Elephas maximus indicus: one gene and its partners. The protein of the gene in region 1 purifies or fractionates together with the protein of each later gene. This does not show direct contact. Links are inferred from orthologs where the notes say so. Each region holds a gene or a part of one and is shown on either strand. Other genes may lie near its edges.

What was found. The genes of interacting proteins can lie anywhere in the genome.
Region 2: the proteins of SGF29 (region 1) and TAF6L purify together in Homo sapiens (affinity purification with mass spectrometry; 4 studies listed by BioGRID and IntAct, counting the BioPlex papers as one, with this or other methods). This does not show direct contact. The link is inferred for Elephas maximus indicus from reciprocal best matches to the Homo sapiens genes SGF29 and TAF6L.
Region 3: the proteins of SGF29 (region 1) and ATXN7L3 purify together in Homo sapiens (affinity purification with mass spectrometry; 8 studies listed by BioGRID and IntAct, counting the BioPlex papers as one, with this or other methods). This does not show direct contact. The link is inferred for Elephas maximus indicus from reciprocal best matches to the Homo sapiens genes SGF29 and ATXN7L3.

The regions. Positions count from the first base shown.
Region 1 is NC_064830.1:89,011,140-89,019,161, reverse strand, and holds the start of SGF29 (SAGA-associated factor 29), read right to left. Parts: upstream 3,336-8,022; 5' UTR 3,157-3,335; intron 1-3,156. UniProt on the Homo sapiens protein: Chromatin reader component of some histone acetyltransferase (HAT) SAGA-type complexes like the TFTC-HAT, ATAC or STAGA complexes.
Region 2 is NC_064825.1:125,925,055-125,933,133, reverse strand, and holds the start of TAF6L (TAF6-like RNA polymerase II p300/CBP-associated factor-associated factor 65 kDa subunit 6L), read right to left. Parts: upstream 3,418-8,079; 5' UTR 3,331-3,417; intron 1-3,330. Other genes in the region: POLR2G (DNA-directed RNA polymerase II subunit RPB7), read right to left, coding at 7,232-7,245, 7,434-7,467, 7,668-7,739, 7,853-7,918, 8,035-8,079. UniProt on the Homo sapiens protein: Functions as a component of the PCAF complex. The PCAF complex is capable of efficiently acetylating histones in a nucleosomal context. The PCAF complex could be considered as the human version of the yeast SAGA complex.
Region 3 is NC_064837.1:50,721,824-50,729,425, forward strand, and holds the start of ATXN7L3 (ataxin-7-like protein 3), read right to left. Parts: upstream 3,418-7,602; 5' UTR 2,189-3,417; coding exon 1,997-2,188; intron 1,697-1,996; coding exon 1,564-1,696; intron 1,369-1,563; coding exon 1,197-1,368; intron 1,015-1,196; coding exon 917-1,014; intron 729-916; coding exon 706-728; intron 403-705; coding exon 336-402; intron 186-335; coding exon 100-185; intron 1-99. UniProt on the Homo sapiens protein: Component of the transcription regulatory histone acetylation (HAT) complex SAGA, a multiprotein complex that activates transcription by remodeling chromatin and mediating histone acetylation and deubiquitination.

The DNA of each region.
Region 1 (8,022 bases):
GCTGAAACTTCTTTAACATCACAGCAACACTCAAGCCTCCACTGACAGACAGGTGGAGACGGCGCACGAGGTACACTGGCTGGAACTGAACTCCGGCCTCCCACATGGAAGGTGAGATTTCTGCCACCAATGCCCCTAACTCTTTAGTTAAACCCTAACTAAACCAAACCCACTGCTGTCGAGTCGATTCCGACTCATAGCGACCCTACAGAGTCAATAAATTCCCCTTTTCTGCTTAGTCTAGTTTGGGTTAGTTTTTTATTACTAAGTAACTAAGAACCTTGACTAATAATAGGAACTTTCAATGGCAGGGCCTGTTCTATTCTTAGGGCTATTCTTAGGGACAAAATTACAGTTTATTCTTATGTCAAAGGTTGTATATATTAACTGCTAAACACCAGCCTAAAATTGTTCTCTGGCTCCAAGGTGACCATCTGTCTACTTACTAGTGGCCAAAGCTTCATATAAACAAATCCAAACATCCAGTACATAAACCAATCTAAAATTAATCCCACGAGGCTTGTGACAACCCAGAGCCCTTGTCCTGAGTCAAAGAGAAAGGAGGCACCTAAAACTCTACACTCAGATTTCACACCCTCAATCCAGTCACTAATAATGAGAATCTACATTCAACTGTTTAAAAAAAAAAAAGTTGAGAACAGAAAATACTTTTTTTTTTTTTTCAATACCTAGTACCTGCCATAGAGTCCTGGTGGTGCAGTGGTTAAGAGCTCAGCTGCTAACCAAAAGGTGGGCAGTCTGAATCCACCAGCTGCTCCTTGGAAACTCTGTGCAATAGGGTTGTTATGAGTTGGAATCAACAATGCGTTTTTCTGCTTTTAGTACCTGCCTTGCTTCTGCATTGGAGCTTACACGGAGTTTCTCATTTAAATCTTACTTCAGTCTTATAAGATAGGTAGCTATCAGCATGTAGAAAACTGAAGTTAGAAAGGCTAAATTATGCTAGGTAACTCAGCTAGGAAATACAGGCAGTTGAGTTGGGACTGGAATGCAAGACTGCAAGCTAAAAATCTATGCTCTTTCAACTAATTGCAAGTTATGTCCAAATTTCAGCACAGAGATCATGGAAGTAGAAGCACTGTGTCTCCTGTAAACTGTTATTGCGATTACACTGACAGATTACAGAAATTATCACCAGTAAGGTGGTGGTCACTGTGGCATCTGAAGAAAAAGAGGTAGGAAAATCAAGGTAATAATGACAGCTAATCCTTACTAAGCAGCCCTTGTGGCATAGGGGTTAAAGCGCTCGGTCAGCAGTTTGAACCCACCAGCCGCTCCTTGGGAGAAAGACGTGGAGGTCTGCTTTTGTAAAGATTTACAGCCTTGGAAACCTTATGGGGCAGTTCTACTCGGTCCTATAGGGTCACTATGAGTCGGAATAGACCCGATGGCAAAGGGTTTGGTTTAAGTGTTTTTATGTAAATTTTATGTAAATTATTCTACTTAATCCTCCCAACACTCCTATTAAATTAGTATTTGTAGAAACTTGAGTATTGGAGAAACTTTACAAAGGTCAAGCAACTAATAAACGGCAGAAGTGGGATTCAAACCCATTCTAGAACCACGCTCTAGAACTTGCACCTTATAATGACTACAAATCCTGAAGTGACATAACTTAAGTATTTTTTTCCAATGCAGGTGATTCATCAAACTTCTAACTAAATGAGATTTATTTTTAAAAGCTCTGTAAGAATCTTTACACATACATTTAAAAATCAGAAAAAAAAAAAAAAAAGCCTTTGCCTTATCACATGTCCCCACTTCTAGCTCCAGGAAGAGGGTCATAATAACCATGGACTCCAATGGACCTACCCACTGAGAACAGGGTGTCTAGTGGTTGAGCCAAGTATTCATCAAATGGACATTCTACTAACACTGCCCAGATATTGCTTCAGACCCTAGACAGCAGTTCTCCAACAATCCTACTAACCCTACCTACAAAAGCTGCACTGAACAGTTCCAGTCTTCCAACCCCCATCCCAAATAAGATTGTTGGAAAGGCCTTGTCTCTCCCACCAGACTTTCTCCTGAGCTTTTACAGGAGAGGAATGGATTTTTACTCATCTTTATATTCCAATACCCAGCCCAGTGCCTGGCACCTACTATGTCCTCAAAATGGATTGCTCAACTGAATAGAACCCTGGAAACCCCTTAGAACATTCTCTCAACTTTGGAATATGGCAACTGTTCTGGAGATGAGCTCTTCAAAAATCATCTCCCCCGTCTCAGGAAAATAGAAAAAAATTAATCATTACCAATACACTCTAAGGGGTTTCTCTATTTGCCACTTGTAGAGAAGAGGTACTTCCCCTCTTCACTCTTTCGGTAATTATTTATCAAGCACCTACTCTATGCCAGGCATGAGCGATATACAGTAGTGAATGAGACAAACACAGCAGACGAAAGAGGAGAGGTCGGAGAGAGGTGAGCCTAAGAGAATGTTCCAGAAGACAAATGAAGAAGGGGCAGTGGTCAACTGCATCAAAGAATGCTTAAGTATTGACAACTAACTTAACACAGAATTTGGCTAACTAGAGGTCATTGGTGGCTTTGATAAGAGCTATTTCAATGGAGTCAAAAACTCGTTGCCACTGAGTCCATTCCAACTCATTGCAACCCTGTAGGGCAGCAGATGGGGCGGGGGGTGGGGGGTGCCTGACTGGAGAGGTGCTAGTGAGTATACACCAAAACCTTTGCCTACAAAGGGGAGCAGGCAAATAAAATAACTGGACGTATCCGGAAGGTGGCTGAGGTTATTTTGTTATTAAGATGGGTACATTCTGAGAAAAAAAAATACTGCTCGAGTTCGGGGCCCATCCTCAATATTTCTCGCACCTGAGCTGAACACCCCACCTCCAACCACACTCCCACCCTCTGCCGGACGCCACCCAGCGTCCTCGCGAAGCTCCCAACCCGCCGTTTCCCACCCTCTTCCCGGGGTCGCCAGGGCGCAGGCGCAGACCCCAAGGCGAGCCGAGCGTGCCACCGCCCGGCCCCGCCCCTCCCTACCCAGGGCGCGTGCGCATCCCTCTCAGCAGCGCCTCGGCGGGGCCCGAGGGGAGACGCCAAGGGGGACCTCCGCCCTTTGCGGCTGCGATTCTCTGGAGGTCCCAGACCGCGACCCATCCCACCTACCGTGTCACTGACGAAACAAGCACGTCGCGCTGGAAATTGCGACAGCGGGAAACAGGCGCGGTCCTTGAACACCTCTTCAGGGTCCGCAGAAGATAACGCACTTGCGTTCGAAGATTAGCCGCACGTCAAGCCTCACACGCGCTTTTTTCTCTTTCATGAACCGAGGCGCAGCGGGAGGACCCCCGTGCGCTTGCGCGGTCCGGCCTTTTGTGACGTGCCGTGCTGTCCCTTGGGAAATGTAGTTTTTACTTTGACACACTATTTCCGATTCTTCAGCTGAATCTTAATAAACCAGGGTCCTTGTGTGTTTTCAGTGTCCTCTCTCAATTCCCAAAAACATCTATTTAAACACATATATATGTATGTATAAATGGGCATATTTTTAGACCCAGAAATCACACGGAATTCTCCCCAGGAAGATATTAAGGGTTTGGGCAAACAAACATTTAGCTACAAAGATTTTTATCAAAGGATATCATAGTGTCTTGTAATTTCTTATATAACCTCTACCAAAGTTTGATATGTATATTTGATTATTTGGTGGACTGGCCAGCTCCATGAGGTCGGGATCATTTGTCTTACCTATGTATTCCCAGTACCTAGCACAGTGCCTGGCACATAATAATAAAAAAAAAAATTTAGGACCTCAGTAAATACTTTTCTGTTCATTAGAGTATCTCAAACTTCAACTCTGCAGCCGTTTCAGCCCAAAACTTAACATATGATTTTCCTCCATCAAGCTTTCTTCCTGTAGTCCCTATCTCAATAAATGGCATCTAACCAGTCTCAGTTCTATATACTACATTTTATGAAGGTTGTACTAGCAGTGACTTTGCAAATTTTGTGTTTGTAAAGGTCTCAGGGGCTTTCTCTCCTAAAGATTAAATATTGACCCCCCCCCAGTTACTCATCAGGAGAAATTCGGGGCTCACAATTATACATTTTTTAATGTAACGTTAATTTCTAGCCCCCGGACTTGGCTAGTAACTGAAAGGATGACGGTTTGAATACACACAGCCGCATTGCGGAAGAAAGACCTGATCTCCTTCCGAAAAATCACAGCCTTTGAAAACTACTGAGCACAGTTCTGCTCTGAAACGCATGGGGTTGCTGTGAGTCAGAATTCACTTGATGGCAACTGATGTATCTTTAATCTCTAATTTTTCTATAATGAACATGTATTACTTGGATAATTAAAAAAAAAAACAGTGTTTTAGAGTGTTGCACACAGAAGGGATAGCTCTGTTCCGCCCCCCCCACCCCCGCCCCCCGCCCCGCTCCATCCAGATTTCTCAAAAGAATTATTTATCGTCGGTTTTCATTTCCTCACCTCCTACTGGGCACAATGACAGGAGCCAGCACCTGGGAGTGATCCTTGGCATCACCCTTTTCCTCCCCTCCCACATCTAATCTGTCACTAAGGGTCTGCAATTTAAAAATATCTGCTTACATTTGTTGAGCACTTACTATGTATCAGGCACTATTGAAAACGCTTTACAGGTATTCATTCCTGTAACACAATTCACCCACTTTTCACCTCTGCCACATTCACCCAATTTCATGCTGCCTCTGCCCTTGCCTGCATAACTGCAAAAGATTTTTATTTTTTAATCCAGGTACAGAGGTCGAGACACTCATATTTCTCACTTCATGGTGCACTGTCGTCATTGGGCTCTGCACGGCCCTCTCATTTTATGTTTTAATAACCTTCTATCCCTTCTCCACTCTTCCCTCCTCCCCCAATAGTGTACATGTGTATCCTTGTGAAACATGGGCATGGTTGAGTGTGCATGTATTTTTTTTTTTAATTGTACTTTAGATGAAGGTTTACAGAACAAACTAGCTTCTCATTAAACACGACACATACTGTTTTATGACATTGGTAAACAACCTCAGGATGTGTCAACAGTCTCCCTTCTTGACCTTGGGTTCCCTATTACCAACTTTCCTGTCCCCTCCTGCCTTCTAGTCCCTGCCCCTGAGCTAGTGTGCCCCTTTAGTCTCATTTTGTTCTATGGGGCTGTCCAATCTTTGGCTGAAGGGTGAACCTCAGGAATGACTTCCTTACTGAGCTGAAAGGGTGTCTAGGGGCCGTATTCTCAGGGTTCCTCCAGTCTCTGTCAGGCCAGCAAGTCTGCCCTTTCTTTTTGAGTTAAAATTTTGTTCTACATTTTTCTCCAGCTCTGTCCAGGACCATCTATTGTGATCCCTGTAAGAGCAGTCAGTGGTGGTGGCTGGGCACCATCTAGTTGTACTGGACTCAGACTGGTGGAGGCCGTGACAGATGTGGTCCATCAGTCCTTTAGACTAATCTTTCCCTTGTATTTTTAGTTTTCTTCATTCTTCCTTTCTTCCTTTAGTGTGCATGTATTTTTAATTTACCTAAATGGCATTGTGCTATAAACCTCATTCTAGTTCTTACTTTTTCCACTCAGCACAGTACTTTTAAGACCTGTTCTTGTTGTAGGTACACCTAACCTGTTACTTAGAACGACTGTGCAATATTCATAGTGGGCACCCATATTTTACTTATTCAGACCCGTGGCGATGGACCTCTGAATTGCACATCTAGCTCAATTGGCATAACATAGTTTATAAAGAAAATGTTCTACATCCTACTCTGGTGAGTAGTGTCTGAGGTCTTAAAATTTCTGGATGGCCATGTAAGATACATCTACTGGTCCCACCCTGTCTGGATCAAGCAAAAATGAAGAAAACCAAAGACAATGGAAAGATTAGTCCAAAGGACAAATGGGCCACAGCTACCACAGCCTCCACCAGACTGAGTCCAGCACAAGTAGATGGTGCCTGGCTACCACCGCCAACTACTCTGACAGAAATCACAATACAGTTTCTGGGACAGAGCAGGGGAAGAATGTAGAACAAAATTCACACTCACAAAAAAAGACCAGACTTACTGGTCTGACAGAGACTGGAGAAACCCCAAGATACCTTTTTAACTCAGTACTGAAGTCACTCGTGAAGTTCACTGTCATGGATTGAATTGTGTCCCCCTAAAATAAGTGTCAAGTGTCAATCTGGCTAGGCCATGATTCCCAGTACTGTGTGATTGTCCACAATTTTGGCATCTGATGTGATTTTTCTGTGTTGTAACTCCTACCTCTATGATGTTAATGGGGCAGGATTAGAGGCAGTTATGTTGATGAGGCAGGACTCAATCTACAAGATTAGGTTGTGTCTTAAATCAATCTCTTTTGAGATATAAAAGACAGAAGCAATCAGAGAGACAGGGAGACCTCATATCACCAAGAAAGTAGTACCAGGAGCAGAGTGCGTCCTTTGGACTGGGTCTCTGCATTAAGAAGCTACTAGACCAGGGGGAGATTGATGACAAGGATCTTCCTCTAGAGCGGAGTTGGAGCTGGTGCCCTGAAGCTGGTGCCCTGGAGCTGGTGCCCTGAATTCGGACTTCTAGTCTACTATTTTGTAAGAGAGTAAACTTCTGTTTGTTATAGCAGCCCTAGATAACTAAGACAATCACCCTTCAGCCAAAGATTAGACAGGCCTATAAAGCAAAGCAAACGATAACACACGCAGTTCAACCACGTATACAAAACTAAATGGGCACGCCAGCCCAAAAGCAAAGACAAGAAGGCAGGAAGGGACAGGAAACCTGAACGACTGGAAATGGGGAACCTGAGGTCAAGAGAGTGAGAGTGTTGACACATTGTGGGTTTGGCAACCAATGTCACAAAACAATATGTGTAATAATTGTTTAATGAGAAACTAATTTGCTCTGTAAACATTCGCCTAAAGCACAATTAAAAAAAAAGATTCCTTCCCCAATTAATACTGATAATAATAACTAACGTTTGTTGAACAGTTACAATGTTCTAGGCACAGTGTTAAGCCTTTATAAGAATTGGTCTTTTAATCCCCACAATACTCCCACAATGTAGGTACCATTATTAATCCCATTTTTAACAAAGGAAACTGAGAGACACAGAGAGGCTAAATAACTTATCGAAGCCTATGCAACTAACAAGTGGCAGAACCAAGCTTTGGACTCAGGCAGTAGGGCTCCAGATCCTACTGCCTTCACCGTAACTAAACCAGACCCAATCATTGCATTCTAGTGGACAAATAATAGAGAAGTAAACAAATAAAAACATACATTCGATTAGCAATGACTGAATGCTATGAAGAAAGTAAAATAAAATCAGGGTAGTGGGATAAAGAATAACTGTTGGGGGAGAGGGATACAAATAAAAACTGCAATGAGATATCACCTCACCCCTATTCGAATGGCAATGATTGAAAAAAAAGAGAAAACAAGTGTTGGCGAGGTTGTAGAAACTGGAACACTCATCCATTGTCGGTGGAAGTGTAGAATGGTGCCTCCACTGTGGAAAATGGTTCAAAAGTTGAACATAGAACTACCATATGACCCAGCAATCGCAGTCCTAGGTATGTACCCAGATGAATAAAGACAGGAGCGCAAACAGAAACCTGTACACCAATGTTCATTGCAACACTTTTAACAATAGCAAACTGGTGGAAACAGCTGAAAGAAATGCCCATTAACAGATGAATGGATAAACAAATGTCGTATATACATACAATGGAATATTATACAGCCATAAAGAGAAATGAAGCCTTGGTGCATGCCACAACACGGAGGAACCTTGAAAACACTGTGCTGAGCAAAGTAAGTCACAAAAGGATGATCTCGCTTATATGAAATATAAGCAAACACATAGAAACCTAAGATTGTTAATAGTTAGCAGGTGTGGAAGGAAGGTGGAAAAGGGGAGTTTTTGTTGGGGGAGAGCACTGAGTTTAAGTTAATGGTGGTGGAATATTTTGGATGAGGATAGCGATAATGGCGGCACGACGTGAAAAATG
Region 2 (8,079 bases), on another chromosome or scaffold:
GTTTGCCTGCAGGCCTGAAAACACAGACCTGCTCATCTGTCCACAGGATATGGCAGAGTCAGAACCCACCCAAAACAGCAGCTGATGACTGACTCCAACAATGGGTGCCACACTTTAGGAGGTAGATCCATGGGTAGCAAGGTGACCCATTCAGGGTGCTACGCCCACTATTCCACTGGCAGTGCTCACTGGGGTCACTAATGACCTCCAGGTTGCTCAATCCAATGGCCACCCTGCTTGGCTTCTCAGCAGCATTCCTCCCACTGGTCCCCATGGCCTTTTGGAATAAAGAAGAAATCATTACCATGGCTCCCAAGGCCTGCAGGGGCTGCCGACTGCTCCTCCAACATGTCTCACCACTTTCCCTCTTGTGTCTGCATTCACACCAGTAGCCTCCTTTAGTTTCCACAGAACCATTGTGCGTTCTATTTCCTCTGCTTGAAACACTCTCCTCTGTGCCCTCCACCCCAATTCCTTTGTCTAGTGAGCTCCCGCCCACTCCTTCAGATGTCAGTTCAAACGTCACTTTCTCAGGAAGTCATCCCAGACCCCCGCTGTCGCTCCATTTGCCTTCAGAGCAGTCATCCCAGTTTGTAATGATAAATTGGCAAAACTTTTTTTTTTTTTTTTTGGCTTTAACAAAGAGAAGTTTATTCTTTCATAGTCCAATAGGCTAGAAGTCCGAATTCAGGGTGCCGGCTCTCTCTGTTGACTCTGAAGGAAGGTCCCTGTGATGCATCAGTCTTCCGTTGGTCTGGGAGCATCTCAGCACAGGAACCTCAGGTCCAAAGGACAAGCTCTGCTCCTGGCGCTACTTTCTCGGTGGTATGAGGTCCCCTTGTCTCTCTGTTCACTTTTCTCTTTTTTTTTTTTTAATAATTTTTATTGTGCTTTAAATGAAAGTTTACAAATCAAGTCAGTCTGTCACATATAAGCTTATATACACCTCACTACATACTCCCATTTACTCTCCCCCTAAGAAGTCAGCCCGCTCCCTTCTTCCAGTCTCTCCTTTCGTGACCGTTTTGGCGTAACTTTTAACAACTGCCTCCTCACTAGACTGTGAGCTGCATGCGGGCAAGGACAATGTCTTTGCTCACCTTTGCATCCCCAGCATCTAGCACAGGGTCGGTGCGTGATACACCCTCAATGAACACTTGCTACAAGAACGACTAAAGAACTGTTTGTTTTTTTTTTTTTTTTTTTTTGAGCCTGTACTATGCCTCAGGCACTAACATTAAGTGCTTTATATAGATTACCTATTCGATCCTAACCATGAGGTAGGTATTCTGTGGGTACTATGTCCATTTCGGAAGGAGCCCTGATGGCAGAGTGGTTAAGCACACAGCTGCTAACCAAAAGGTCGGCGGTTCGAACCCACCAGCCACTCCACAGGAGAAAGATGTAGCAGTCTGCTTCCGTAAAGATTTGTTGCCATTAGATGCCATCAAGTCAGTTCTGACTCAGGGTAACCCTATGTACAACAGAACAAAACACTGCCTGGTCCTGTGTCATCCTCCCAATCATTGCCACGTTGGAACCTGTTGCTGCAGCCTCTGTGTCAATCCATCTCACTGAGGGTCTTCCTCTTTTTCACTGGCCTTCTAGTTTACCAAGCATTATGCTCTTCTCCAGAGCCCGGCCCCTCCTGATATCATGTCCAAAGTATGTGAGACAAAGTCTCACCATCCTCGCTTCTAAGGAACATTCTGGCTGTACTTCTTCCAAGACAGATTTGTTAGTTCTTCTGGCAGTCCACAGTATATTCAATATTCTTCACCAACACCATAATTTAAATGCATCAATTCTTCTTTGATCTTCCTTATTCATTGTTCAACTTTTGTATCATATGAGGAGACTCAAAATACCATACTTGGGTCAGGCACACCTTACTCCTCAAAGTGACATCTTTGCATCTTAACACTTTGTAGAGGGCTTTTGGACCAGATTTGACCCATGCAATACATCATTTGATTTCTTGACTGCTGCGTCCATGGGTCCATGAAGATTATAGCCTCGGAAACCCTATAGGGCAGTTCTATTCTTTCCCATATGGCTGCTATGAATCGGAATGGACTTATTGCAAAGGATTTTATGTTCATTTCTATAGGAGCCCTGGTAGCGCAATGGTTAAGTGCTCGGCTGCTAACCGAAAAGTAGGTAGTTTGAGTCCACCCAGAGAAACCGTGGAAAAAATGTCTGGTGATCTACAACTGAAAAATCAGCCACTGGGAACACTGACGCACAGTTCTACTCTGACACACACAGGGTTGCCATGAGTCGGAATCGTATTTGAATGGACACCATGGGTGACTTTTTTTTTTTTAAGTATCCATTTCACAACCAAGGAAATCAAAGCTCAGAAAGATTAAATGACTCCTCCAAGACCATCTGGTGCGCGCTGAGTAAGTGGAGAGCAAGGGCTCAAACCCTTGTTCCTAATCATCACACTACACCATAACAGGAGTGGCTGGCGGTGTGGGGAACAGGGTGCCGATCTGCCGTCTTGGTGCTGGAGACCCATCACTTGGTGACCCTAAACCGCCAATGGATACTTGTTAAGCTTCAGTTCCCCCATCTGTAAAATGGGAGCATTAAGTCCTGCCCCCGCTAAAGCTGCAGAGGAAGTTACGTACTCACATTAAAACCAAACCCACTGCCCTCCAGTTGATTCCGACTCATTACGACTCTACAAGACAGAGTAAAACTGCCCCATAGGGTTTCCAAGGCTGTAATCTTGACGAGGAAACCCTGGTGGAGTAGTGGTTAAGAGCTATGGCTGCTAACCAAACGGTCGGCAGTTCAAATCCACCAGGCGTTCCTTGGAAACCATATGGGGCAGTTCTATTCCGTCCTACAGGGTTGCTATAAGTTGGAATCGACTTGACAGCAACGGGTTTGGTTTTTTGGTTTGGGTTTATCTTCACAAAGCAGGCTGCCACATCTTTCTCCAACAGAGCGGCTGAGGGGTCCTAGCGGCCAACCCTTTGGTTAGCAGGTTATGCTTAACCACTGGGCCACCAGGCCTCCTTCCTGCCCACATTAAACTACGACCCCACAAAGTGCAGGCTGTGACCAAGCCTCCTGCCCTCCGCAGGTTCGGCCACTAGCCACACTAGCGAGGGGGCGTGGGAGCTGACCTCAACGGGCCTTGCTCATCCCAGACCTAGAGGTGGCGGGGAAGGGGGCAGGAAGAGGGTCAGGAGCCACCGAACCTGGGTCACGTGGTGGGTGAAGCGGGCGGGCCCCAGGCGGAGCGGGCTCAAAGGCTGATGAGTGCGCACCCCGTGGCGAACGGGGAGCCCCTGGGCCGGGTTAGAGGCTGCTCACCTGAGGGCTCCGGCGCTGCGAAGGGGGTTACGACACGGCGGCTGCTCCCACTCACCCGGTTCTCCACACTAATTCCCTCTCTCCGTGTCCGGGCCCCGCCCTCCATGAGCACAACCAATCGGCGGGCACCGTGCGAAGTTCCCGCCCTCCAGGCGGCTTCTCGCCACGTGATTGGCCCCTGTGAGCGCGCCGTAAGGACCCAGGGCGCCGGGGTCACGTGACGGTGAAACGCCTAGCCCCTGAGCTACGGCACTTGCTAGTTGTGCAAGTGGCTGTATGCGCTTCGGCGTACATTTAATAAGCCTATTCTCCACGGAAGCATCACCATTTCCTGCTCCCGAGTTTCCTAGCACTTGCATTTTCGCGACTGCAGCGAAGCTTTGGGCTTTGGTGTCTGGCTTCGTTTCTTGCCCACCTCTCTAACATCACTTGCCACTTCCTATTCGTGAAAAGATGGATGAGGCTTGGGTAGGTGTTCTCTGCGGGAAGAAGGCGAACATCCCATGCCAGCACCAGACTCCGGAACTCTGCTTATTTGGCATCCTAACTCGTCCTCCCCACTCCTGTCCAATGAACCATGTATAAACCCTCACCTGCCTCTCAGAATTCCTTGACTGTTTTACACACACGTTAATCACTATCTTTCCCGAACTCTGACTACGACAGCAGCGATTGGGCAGTTCTTAATTGACAAGTATTAAATTTACTGAATAAAGGATGGTATTTAGAGTCAGACCGACCTGGGATCAAACCCTGACACTGACTTTGGGCAGGCTATCCAATCACTTTTTACACAGCTACAAAATGGGGTAATGATGCTGGGGTTGTTATGGATTAAATGTCTGGAAGCACCTGGCTGAGTTGCTGGTTGAGCTTTCCCTTCCTCACACATCACAAAGGAGACAGTGGATTCCTTTATGTTCACCCCAGATGGGGTCCTTTGCAGCGGGCTATTCATTATAGAAAGGAGCTTTCTTTAGGGGAGCATGAATGTCCACATCCTCTCCTTCCTCCACTCGAGGGCTAGACGCTGTTGCCCATACGAAAGAACTTCTGGGACCGGAGCAGGGACGGCCGGATGGATGTGGCTGGGATTGCCATGGCAACACCACTGAGGAGACTGTGACCCTGCTGAGTCTCATCCACAATGACATTTGGTGAGGGTTCAGTATTCTGTGCTTGAACACTAGAGTGCCTGCCCACCTGTGCATAAAGAGGAGGCAAAGGGGAAAGGGCCCTCCTCTAAGGCCGTGGGTCTGAGACCAGCTCAGCAGGCTCTGGGCTGTTGACAGATCTCCTCCCTGAGGTGTTATTGGTATGGACTGCCATTGGCAACCTTGGAGGCATGAAGCAATGGAGGGAGGAAGACAAACGCTGTGAAGCTGTGTACAAGCCGTCTGGGGCTCATTTGCCCCCAACATGAGTGAAGGCAGGGGCCAGAGAAGGTAGTAGTGAGACCCATTTGGCCACAAATGGGGGAAAGATGGCCACCATTCACCCGCTAGCCATTCATTGCCTGGCAAGAGTCAGACTGACTTTAGTTAAAAAAAAAAAAAAAAAAATCACTAACTCCGTTATTCACTAGCTGTGTGACATTAGGCATGTTAGTTCATGGAACCTTTGTGAAGATTCTATAAGGTAATTCTGTAAAGGCTTAGCATGATGCCAGGCACATACTACTGTTACTATTAGCCTTTGATCTCTTCAAGAGGCTGTAACTTTCAGATTCTCCTCTAGTACCAACCTAAAAAGATCAGAAGTCCTAGAGACCATCTGCAGCCCCATCTGCTCCCTTCCCCACTCTGTGCCAACCTTCTTGGTGCCACACCCCCAAATCCTCATGGTGCCTTTACACTCAGGCTCCATGACCCCCTCTCTGTCCATCAGTCTCTTCCTTCTAGGCCTGCTGTTACTTCCAGGTCACCCCCTACACAACTTATAAATGGGTGGCTCCATTTGAGAACTTGGGAAGAATTTTACCCTCAGTGACACACAACATAATTAGGGTCTAGGGAAAATCTCCAAACCCTGTACGATCAACTGGTACTACAGCAGAGTGGTGCCAACCACAACTGTAACATTGTTTCCTTTGGAAAATTCATTGCAAATCCAGCACTGAAATGTTCCTCTGTTACCCGAACTGGGAGCGAGGGATACAAAATGAAAGGGGTACCTATGAATCCGTAATTATCGCAATAAAATTTAAAATAGAAAATTTTACATAATAAAAAAATGAATGGACACGGAAAGAGAGAGTGGAGGGAAGGAGCGGGCTGTCTCATTAGGGGGAGAGTAATTGGGAGTATGTGGCAAGGTGTATAAAAGTTTTTGCGTGAGAGACTGACTTGATTTGTAAACTTTCACTTAAAGCACAATAAAAATTATAAAGAAAAAAATGAAAGAGAAGGCAATGACAACAGCATGTTTTGTGACACACTATAAAAAAAAAAATTTTTTTTTTTATAGAGGTATGAATGGGATGTTTAGGGAAGAGCCTCGGTCTGCCCAGGGGTGGTAAAGGGCAGGGGACAATAACTACGTTTGAGTACATATCGCCACATACCAGACACTGCTGCAGATGTTTTATATCCAGGTTTCTAAACCTCTGCATATTTGACATTTGCAGCCAGATAAGTCTTTACTGTGGGGGCGGGGGGGGCTGCCCTGTGCACTGTAGGATGTTTTCTAGCATCTCTGGCCTCTACCCACTAGAAGATATTAGCACCCTCCTCGAAGTTGTAACAACCAAAAATGTTTCTAGACACTGCCAAATGTGCCCCCTCCCCGGGGTGGGGAGGGCCAAAATCACCCTGGCTGAGAATCACTCTTTTATATGCATTTTATAATAATAATTAACAGCTGAGTGCCTATCATGTGCCAGGCTGTATGCTACCCACTTGCATATATGATCTGAGCCTCCCAGCAACCACCCAAAGGTGGTTTTATGGCTACTTTACAATCAGAAAACATACGGTAACCCAGCTAATCTGTTTCAGTCCAAATCCAATGCTTTCTACCACACAGCTCTGCTTCCCAAGGAAGTCAGGGAAAGCTGCACAACAAGAACAATTGAACTGAGATTTGAGAGATTAGCAGCTAGCAAGTTGGGCAAGGGCATTCCGAGGTGGACAAATAGCACTGCAAAGGCCTAGTGGGAGAAAGGGTGGGTGTGTTTGCCTAATCGTGCAGTCATTTCATGGATTTTTGTTGTTACTCATAACTAGAGTTGAGTAACTAGAGATAAGCCCTTTTACATCTTCAATTCAGTTTAGTATAGTGGAATTCACAAATGATCAACCAGCAAATAAAGAATTCTATCGTTTATGTACCCATCCTAGCTGTGTTAGAACCCCAAAATCTGTGTCATTATTCTTGTCACCTCTCTACCTGCCATCCCCTCTTCTCTCTTTCCCAGTTATACCCTTGGTATTTTTAAGGGTGGGGGGACACTCTGGAACAAGATTAGGACTCAGAATGACTCTAATAATGGTATCATTGACTGAAAGCCAACCCAACATTAGCATCTTGCTTTCAATGAGGTCAACTTCTGACCTTGGCAAATGGTCTAGTCAGATCCCTGGGTAGCTGAGGCTGGTTGAAGCATAAGGCCAAAGAAAAGGAGCTAAGGAGCATTTAGTCCCAGGGCCTTTCGAAAAGAGTGGTTGCTCCTACCAAAGAAGGGGATAACGCTTACATGAGAATGAAGGACCTTTTATGGTTCAAAAACAAAGTAAAAACTCTGGGAGTGGCAGCTAAGCCAGAAGTAGACCCAGATGTCCTCTGGTGACAAGGAACCTTCCTTGCTTTCCCCACAGCAGCCAGCCGCTCCTCTGGACAACACGGAAAGTGTGACAGTCACGCCTCCTAAATCAGTACCAAACAAGGTAGGAAGACCCTGTGCTCAGCTCACAAGTCCTGTAAAAACAGGAAAGGCACATCAGTGGGCCCCAAGCTTGGGGGGCCCCATCTGTGTACTTCCCATTCGAAGGGGCACACAGCATGAAAGCTGCTATGTCTGTGACTCAGGCATTAGCCCCATATCCTCCCCAGGCCCCACACCCCTTTTCAGGCAACAGCCCCGGCATGCAAGCTCAGGCACTTACCCAGGTAATCATCCATCAGGGAGCCAATAGCAAACTGCAAGAGGGGAGGTAAAATGGAAATGAAGCCAAGGAGAGCAAAAGCCCACCCCTACCTCCCAGCCCCAGGCCTTCTGCCCACCCATCATCCTCTCTTCCTGGCAGAAGAGCCCAGAAACCCCAGGCATTCTGGATGGTAAGAAATCAACAGCTCCCAGCTCTGCCCAGTACAGGCGGGGAGGCAGGCAAGAGACTCACTATGTCATTCTTGTCCACACGGGTCCCCACAATCTTCAGACGGATCTCATCATCCTGCTGAATCACAATGTCCTGGAGAGAGGGTAGAACAGTGTACTCCGGCCACCACCCCCAGGCCAATACCCTCCCTCAGGGTAGCTCCTTCTTGCCTCTCTTCTTTCACCGGCCTCTACCTACCCACTCACCTCATCCACTGTCTTGTAACACGGTGGGTTTGAGTTAGGATCAAACTCCATCTCTGATGGGATGGACTGAAAAGAAGGTCAGGCTGGGTCAGCAGTGTAAACAAAAGCTCCAATAGATAGTCATGAACAGATGTCTCTCCTCCTTAACCCCCCTCCACCCTCCACCAAGAGCCTAGACTTACATGTCGAGAGATGAAGCAGGACATGGGTCCAATTTCTGTGAAGAG
Region 3 (7,602 bases), on another chromosome or scaffold:
ATTCCCTGACAAATAGCTCGCTTCCCCAATTGCCCAAATCTCAATCAACTTCCAACAAAGAGAATGAAAGGGAGCCTAAGAGGGGCAGCCTTTACTCACCTTAAAAGGATCCGAATTGCTAAGTTCCCCTGAAGAAGAAAAAAGAAGGGGAAGGGTGTTTGATGCAGAGGTACAGACAGAGAACCCTGAAAATAACCAGAGAGGAAGTGGGGGTGACAGAAGGATCATAGGCCCTCCCTCAATACCCTTGTTCCTCCAGGCCCCCACCTCCACCCCCCAGCAATGAGTCCCAGAAGATACAGCTTGAAGCACTCCCGTTTTTCTAGCCCACTTACCATTTTTGTGTTTTAAAGACTTGGATCTTCGAGGGGAATTGGGGTTCTGGAATGGGAGATACCATAGCTTTGGGGAAAGGGTAACGATAAGGGGAAGCCGAGAACCCAGGGAAGGAAAAAAGATTTGACAAAGAAACATCCTCAAATTCTTACTCTTCCTCCCCAGTAAGACCCACCTACCCATATTCCCTTCCGCTTCCCCGAGGCCTCTGCTGCCCTCCTGCCCACTACAGACACCCTCCTCCCGAACCCAGAAAGGCCCCCAGTGACCTTAGACTTGAGTCAAGATACCCTTGAGAGGACTCCCTGCCCAAAGGGGAGGGTATCTGTCCTTCGCCCCAATTTCCCTCATGTTTGCCCCAGCTCTCACCTTGTCTGATTTTCTCTTCTTGGCTGTACAGAACAAAATGATAAAGAATACCGTTATTTTCAGCTTCCAGTCTAAGACTACATAAAGAAAAGTGCAAAATTCACTCTTCCCCCCATTATTCAAGACAAAAACTTACTGCCGCCGTATACCCAATCACTGCCTGTCCACATCCCCCTCAAAGCCCACCAAGATTCCCCACATCCCCAAACACCTTTCTTCTCCGAGCCATAGGACCAGTCGTTGTCATTGATGTCATCGTTATCCTCTTGGTCACTCTCAGACTTGTTCATATTGTTGCTATTGGCAATCCTGCCAAGAGTGGGGAAGGGAAAAGGGTCAAGGCCCCTCTGCCCTCGCTTTCAGAGGTAGAGTAGAGCACGTAGGACCGAGTACAAACCACCCTCTGTAGCCTACAAATGCTGAGAACGACATCATAGTGCAGGCTGCACAAGGGGAGCAACTGTGGTTCGAGTAGGGAAAGTGACCCTCACCGGCGGTTGGCGATGCGGCTGCTGTTCCGACCCATTCCCAGGCACTTCTCCAGATGGGGAGCAAAGCGGGAGGCAGCAATGCTGCGGCTACAATTGGGGCAAACACACTCCTTGCTCTTCCACTGGTTGAAAACCTGTCCAAAGATGTCCAATCCCGGCTGGTCCACAATCTCTGGGGACAGGAGAGGCGTAGCGATCAGGGTGGGCAGGGTACCCTCCCCTCTTATCCCCACCCGTGGCCTTAAGGCCTCTTCAAATGCCCCGCCTCAGCTCCGGGGTGTACATCTAGTGCAGCAGCATCGGGAGAAGGAAGCTCCAGCACTCCCAGGGCAAAGCTAGACTGCTCTCCTTTGACCCGGAAGCTCACCAAAATCCTTCATGCTCTCAGGGTCCGTGTCATCCAGGAAGAAGTAGCCACACTTGACAGCCCGGTGTACCTCAAAGCAGAATCCCAAACAAGAATCCTCGACCAGGTCCGCATATATCTCCTGAGCGATGGCCTGGGTCCCAGGGGAGAACATCCACGGTCACAAGAGTCACAGCCCCCTGGACTAGTCGTGACTCTCACCAACTAAATCTCCTGCCACCTCACCCTGGCCAAAAATAATCCTTTCTTTGCCATTTTCCCCATCTTGACTTTGTGTTCTTTCTTCTTCCCGGATCCTTGGGCCTTTTCGGCTGGCTATTCCCTTTAAGAAACAAAGCTGACTACCCAAATTCCTCTTTGGTGTGGATGCCAGATATAGCGACGTAGAGACATCAAGAGAAAGAACTAGAGGCACACGTGGGGGAGCCCTCACCTCTAGTTTGCTGTTATCCAGGCCAGACAAAGACATTTCCTCCATTTTCATTTGTAAACTCTTGTGGAGACGGCACTCTGACTGTTCATAGCACAGCGGGCGGCAACACGGCTGTACACATGGGGGGGTGGGCGTTGGTATGAGTCCAAGGTACCTCTGAAGACTGCCACCTCCCCTCCCACCTAAGCCCATAGCTTAATCCTGGCACCAGGGTCTCTCCTACCCCAAGGCCCAGGCTCACTAATTCTGGATGGTCCTCCAGGGCTTGGAAACCCAAAGGTGGCCTAGTCCTTCCCAGGCCTGAGCTTAGGCTCTGGACTCTTTATCTACTGCCAATCAGATCTAGCTCTATAGGAGGCAGCAGCTCACCCCAGGTCCCCAAAACTCAAACCCCTCTTTGATACCCATGGTGCAATGCAGCAGGGGGAGGAGAAGGAACTCTAAGGCCTCAAAGCAAACCCACAGGGTGTGGCAAAGAACTGCACAGACTCCTAAATACACCCCCCCCTTCCCTAAAGGCTCTCCTCAGAGTCACCTCTGCTTTCAGCCGGGATGTCCACTTGGGGGGGTACTGCTACCAGAAGTAGAAATGGTCCTAGGCCCCTACAACCTTCACCCCACTCTGCCTTCTCTTAAAATAAGCCTACCACTAAGGGAGGGGAACAGAGCCCACAGAAGCCCAGTGCTAAGGGGCATTTCTAACCACTGTGAGCAAGAGGGGGGTGGCCCGGTGGGATGGCATGCCAGGAGTGGGCACTCCCCTTACCTGTTCTTCTTTTAGATAACCACCCTCCCTCCCTCAGGACCAGCCCGGAAGTCTCTCTAAGAGCCTCAAAGTCCAGGAACCCCCACCAAAGGATTCAGAAACAACGCCCCGAGTCCGGGGCCCCTCTCAGCGGAGGGTACGAGTTTGAGGAGCTGCTGGCCTAGAGTGGGGTGGGGATTGACAAATGAGCCAGGGGCACTGGGGAGGATAGGAGGCCGGGCCTCGGCTCTTCCCCCGTCCCTGCGGCACTGCTGCTGCATCATACCGACTGGGGGGAGGAGAGCCGAGCCGCCGGAGGCCAGCGCCGGTCCGGGACAGCCCGACCCCCAGAGAGTAGGCAGAGTGGGACGCGTCCCGGCCCCTCTCCTTCCCTGCCCGCCGACAGCTCCGGCCGGCCGGGGAGGGAGTCCGGGAGGGTGTCTCTATTGTCCGGGGGGCTGGGGCCTGGCTCCCTAACAAAGGCCCCGCGCCCCCTCCCCGGCTGGCCCTGCCCCGCCCAAGGGGGACCCAGACAGGGGGAAAGCAGGGGGCCCGGGCCGGGCCGGGAAGCCGGGCGTTTCCGCGTCGGCCCGGGGGGAGGGGAAGGGGCGCTGACCCAGACCTGGGGGGAGGGGGCCCAAGCCCCGCCTCGGGCCCCGCCCCCCGCAGGCCCCTCCCCCGTCCCCGTCTCCGTCCCGTACTCACCCCGCCCGGGGGGCCGCGCCGGGGCCCGGCGGCCTCTCAGGGCCGCGTCCTCCGGCGGCGGCGGCGGCGGCGGCTGCTCCGGAGCCCCATGTCCGTCGGTCCGTCCTCGCCTCTCCCCGGGGCCCAGGGCCCGGGGCCGGGGGGTCGGGCTGCCCCCCCGCCTCGCCGCCTCACCGGGCGGCCATGGCCCCTTCCCCTCCCTTCTCGTCCCGTCGCCGCCTCCTCCTCCTCACCTCACCCCGCCCGCGCGCAGTCCGCGCGCCGTCCGCGCGCCCCTCCCCCCGCCCCCCACTCCAGCCCGCCTCTCCCGGGCGGGGGGTGCGGCGCGAGCCCGGAGCGCGCGCGCGTGCCGCGACCGGAGGATGGATGGATGGAGCGAGCGAGAACGCGAACGTGCGCGCGCGCGCCCCTCTCCCCCTCCCTCCGCGCGGGCGCGAGGCCAAGCGCGAGCGCGCTCCAACCTCCTCCTCTTCCTCCTCCCGCCCCTCCTCAACACCCCGCCCCCGCCCTCCCTTCCTCTTCCTTCTTTCGCTTTCGCGCGCCCAGCGGCTGCTCGCGCCTGCTAGAAGGGCCCGAGCGCGTGCATCTGCCCCGCGGCCGCAGCTCGGCAGCATTTGCTCCAGGGGGCGGGGACCGGGCGGGGAGGAGGGGCGCCACGCCGCCGTCCAAAGTACCGGCGGACGGGGAGGGGGGCGGGGAGAGGGGCGGGGCCTTCGCTGGCCGTCCGGCCAATCGTCATGTCGCCTCGGCCCCGGCGGCCCAATAGGATGGCAGTGGGTGGAGCGGCGTTCAAGGTGAGGTGCGCGGTGCGCTGGAGGCGGAGACGTTGTGCCGTCCCGGCCGGCTCGGGGGCGGGGGCAGCGGGTGGCGTCGAAAGAGAGCGCCGGCTCCCAGCCGAGCCTGGGACGCCTTCCGGCCCAGGATTCCCCGCCCTTTCCTCGGGGCTCCCGGCCCTTTCCCCTCGCCGGCGTTTACCCTGAAGTGTGCAGCCACTACTCTGAAGGGGCCGAAGTTAAAGTGGAACGCATTAGGGCCTCAGGGCAGGAAACCCAGGAGACTGAAGCGGGGTCGTCCGAGCCTCCGCTCTCCGTTTCTGGGCAGCTCTACCCAGGCCTGCGACTCTACAAGCAGCCGAGATTAGGGTCCTCCGCGGAGGGCGGGGGCCGAGCTGAGCCCTTCTGAGCGGAGCGCCTCCCTGCCCTCATCCTAATTTAGATCCCACACCTGCTCGCCTTTCCTGCTCCCGGAACCCACGCTGGACCCCCACCTCTCACTCGGCCTGGCACTGGCCAGACCAATCCTCCCACCCAGTGCTACTCCCCTGGGCGTGTCCAAGTCCGCTGTCCGGGCACCTCACCGTCCCCCTTTACCTCCTGGACGAAAGGGCCCTTCACAGCTGCAGTAGATGTGTAGGGTGGCGCTTCCATCTCCGTTACTCTGTGTCTGGAGCCGGTGTCTGACAGTCCTCTCTCCTGGGGAGATAAGATTAAGGGAAGAAAGTTTTAAATCACATTATTTGGGAGCACCATTGGCTCTTTAGTCTTAAGCAAACATTTATTCCCAGATAGTTAAGACCAGGAGTCAGATCTGAATTTACATCTGCCTTTAGTGTGTGGACTTGGGCAGTTCTCTTTCTGTGCCAGACCTTCCTTCTTTGTCAGAGCATGTGATAATACCTAGTACCTATCTCATTAGTTTGTTGTGAGGACTAAAGTCGTACCTGTGAAATTCCTAGGTCAGTGTAAAATCTGTTGCGGTCTAGTGGATTCCGACTCACAGCCACCCTACAGGACAGAGTGGAACTGCCCCATAGGATTTCCAAGGAGCGGCTGACCCTTTGGTTAGCAGCCAAACTCTTAACCACCGTGCCACCAGGGCTCCGGCTCAGAGTAAGTGCTCAGTAAATCTTAACTTATTATCACCGTGCACCAGGTGCTGGGATACAAAGATGAAATAAGACAGTTGTATTTCCCAAGAAGTTCACAGCCTTGTAGGTAGACCTATAAAAAAAATAATTGCAAAATGGTGTGATAAGAAGAGGGGTACACACAGGGTACAGAAGTGGCCAGAAGAGATAGTGATTTAAGAGTAGTGTTGGTCAGGGAAGGCAAGATGATTGTGCTGGGGAGATGATTGAGCTGGCTCATTGAAACGGTTAAAGGCAAGCCAAGAAGGCTCTTGGGTACTATCAAGTCATTCCAACTTACAGCGACCCTGTAGGACAGAGTAGAGCTGCCCTATAGGGTTTCCAAGGCTGTAAATCTTTACAGGTACAGACCGCCACATCTTTCCCCCTGCAGAGCAGGTGGTGGTTTTGAACTGCTGACCTTTGAATTAGCAACTGAGTGCTCCACCACTGTACTACTAGGGCTCCTAAGAAGACACTAGGCATTCCAAATAGCAAGTTTCAAAAGTATGGATCAGGTCGGGGACTGGCTGGTACATTGGAGTGGGTGGGGGAGTAGCTGGAGATGAGCAGGCCAGATCACACAAGACTTGCGGTGTGCTGAGGAGTTTGTTGGTTTCAGCCCCATGGGCATTTGACCAGATTTGCACTTTAAGTGTATCACTCTGGCTGTGGTAATGGAGAATAGCTTAGAAGCAACAGGTTTTTGTGATTGAAGTATGTGGGGTAAAGAACAGGGAGGCCCTAAAACCTCTTTTAACCAGGATGGGAAATTCCAAGGAGTAGATACTAGGGTACAGAAGGATGACAAGTTCAATTTGGGTCATGTTGGGCTTACTGTGGGACCAGCTAGTGGAGAATCTCAAAAGGTGGTTGAACTTCGGTCTGGAGCAAAGGAGTGAAGTCAGGGCTTCTGGAACCTCCACAGGGTGGCCTCAACTTACCTTTCTAGTTGTGTTTCCCATCCTCCCCTTCAGGAATTCTCTACTCCAGTGATGTTCCTCTGTTTCTTAGTCCCTACATGTGCCCCCTATGTCCTATCCTAAGGATTATGCACCTCCCCAGGAAGCTTCCCTGATTCCTGCCTGTTTACCTAAATCCTTTCTCACATCCCCACTCATGGCCATTCTCACACCGAACTTCTCTATAACTGGACTATATTATTCATTCCGCCCTTGACCTGGGCTGCTCTGTGGTAGTGACCTTTTTGGGCATGTGTCTGGTCTCCACAGTTAGCATCAGACAATAAACACTAAAGACTGAGCCACACGCTGGCTCTGGTTGAGACTTTGAGGTTACAGCATGACCAAGAGAGACACATAGATCTCATCCTTGTGGAGCTTACGGCTCAGCAAAGCCTAACATGGAACAAACAAGCCTGAGTGTGAAGGCACCCGGGCTGCTAAGGAAACATGACATGGAGAACTTTTTAGTCAAGGGGATCAGGGAAGGTCCCACTGAAGTTGTTGTTTTGGTTCGGTGCTGTTGAGTCAGCAGCTACGTACCCTATGTACAATAGAACGAAACACTACCTGGTCCTGCACCATCCTCACGATCATTGCTGTGGTTAAGCCCATTCACTGTGTCAGTCCATCTCATTAAGAGTCTCTTTTTTGCTGACGCTCTACCAAGCGTGATGTCCTTCTCCAGGGACTGACCCTTCCTGATAACATGTGAAGAAGTAGAGCCCTGAATTAATCAGGCAGAGAGGTGATGAAGAATATTCCAGGCAAAGGGAACAGCATGTATGCTGGCTGTGGAAGAGAGTGTGTTGGGTCTGAGGCATGGAAGGCTGATATGGCTGGAGTTGGGGTAGAGAGGTCACTAGGGGCAGCAGATCTTCCAGGGACTTGTGGGCCATATTTATCCACTCCTTCAACAAATATTTCTTGGGTGACTACTGTATGCCAATTTTAGATGCTGGAATTACTGTTAACAAACAAGCTGATAAGGGAGATAGCCAATAAACAAATACATAAGCATTGAGATGTAGAAGGAGGTCGCTAGAGAAAGTTGTCAGGTAAGGCCTGTCTATACTGGTGACCTTTGAGCTGAGGCAAGGATGAGAAAACCAGCTATGTAGAGAGTCAGGAAAATGGCATTATGGGCAGAGATCAAGTGCAAAGGCCCTGTGGTAGGCATGTTTGAGGAACAGAAAAGTTATCACGCAGCTGGATCACTTGAGTGATAGGGAATATTGGAGTGGGAGAAAGGAGCAGGGGCCTGGCCTTGTAGGGTCATGGTAAGACT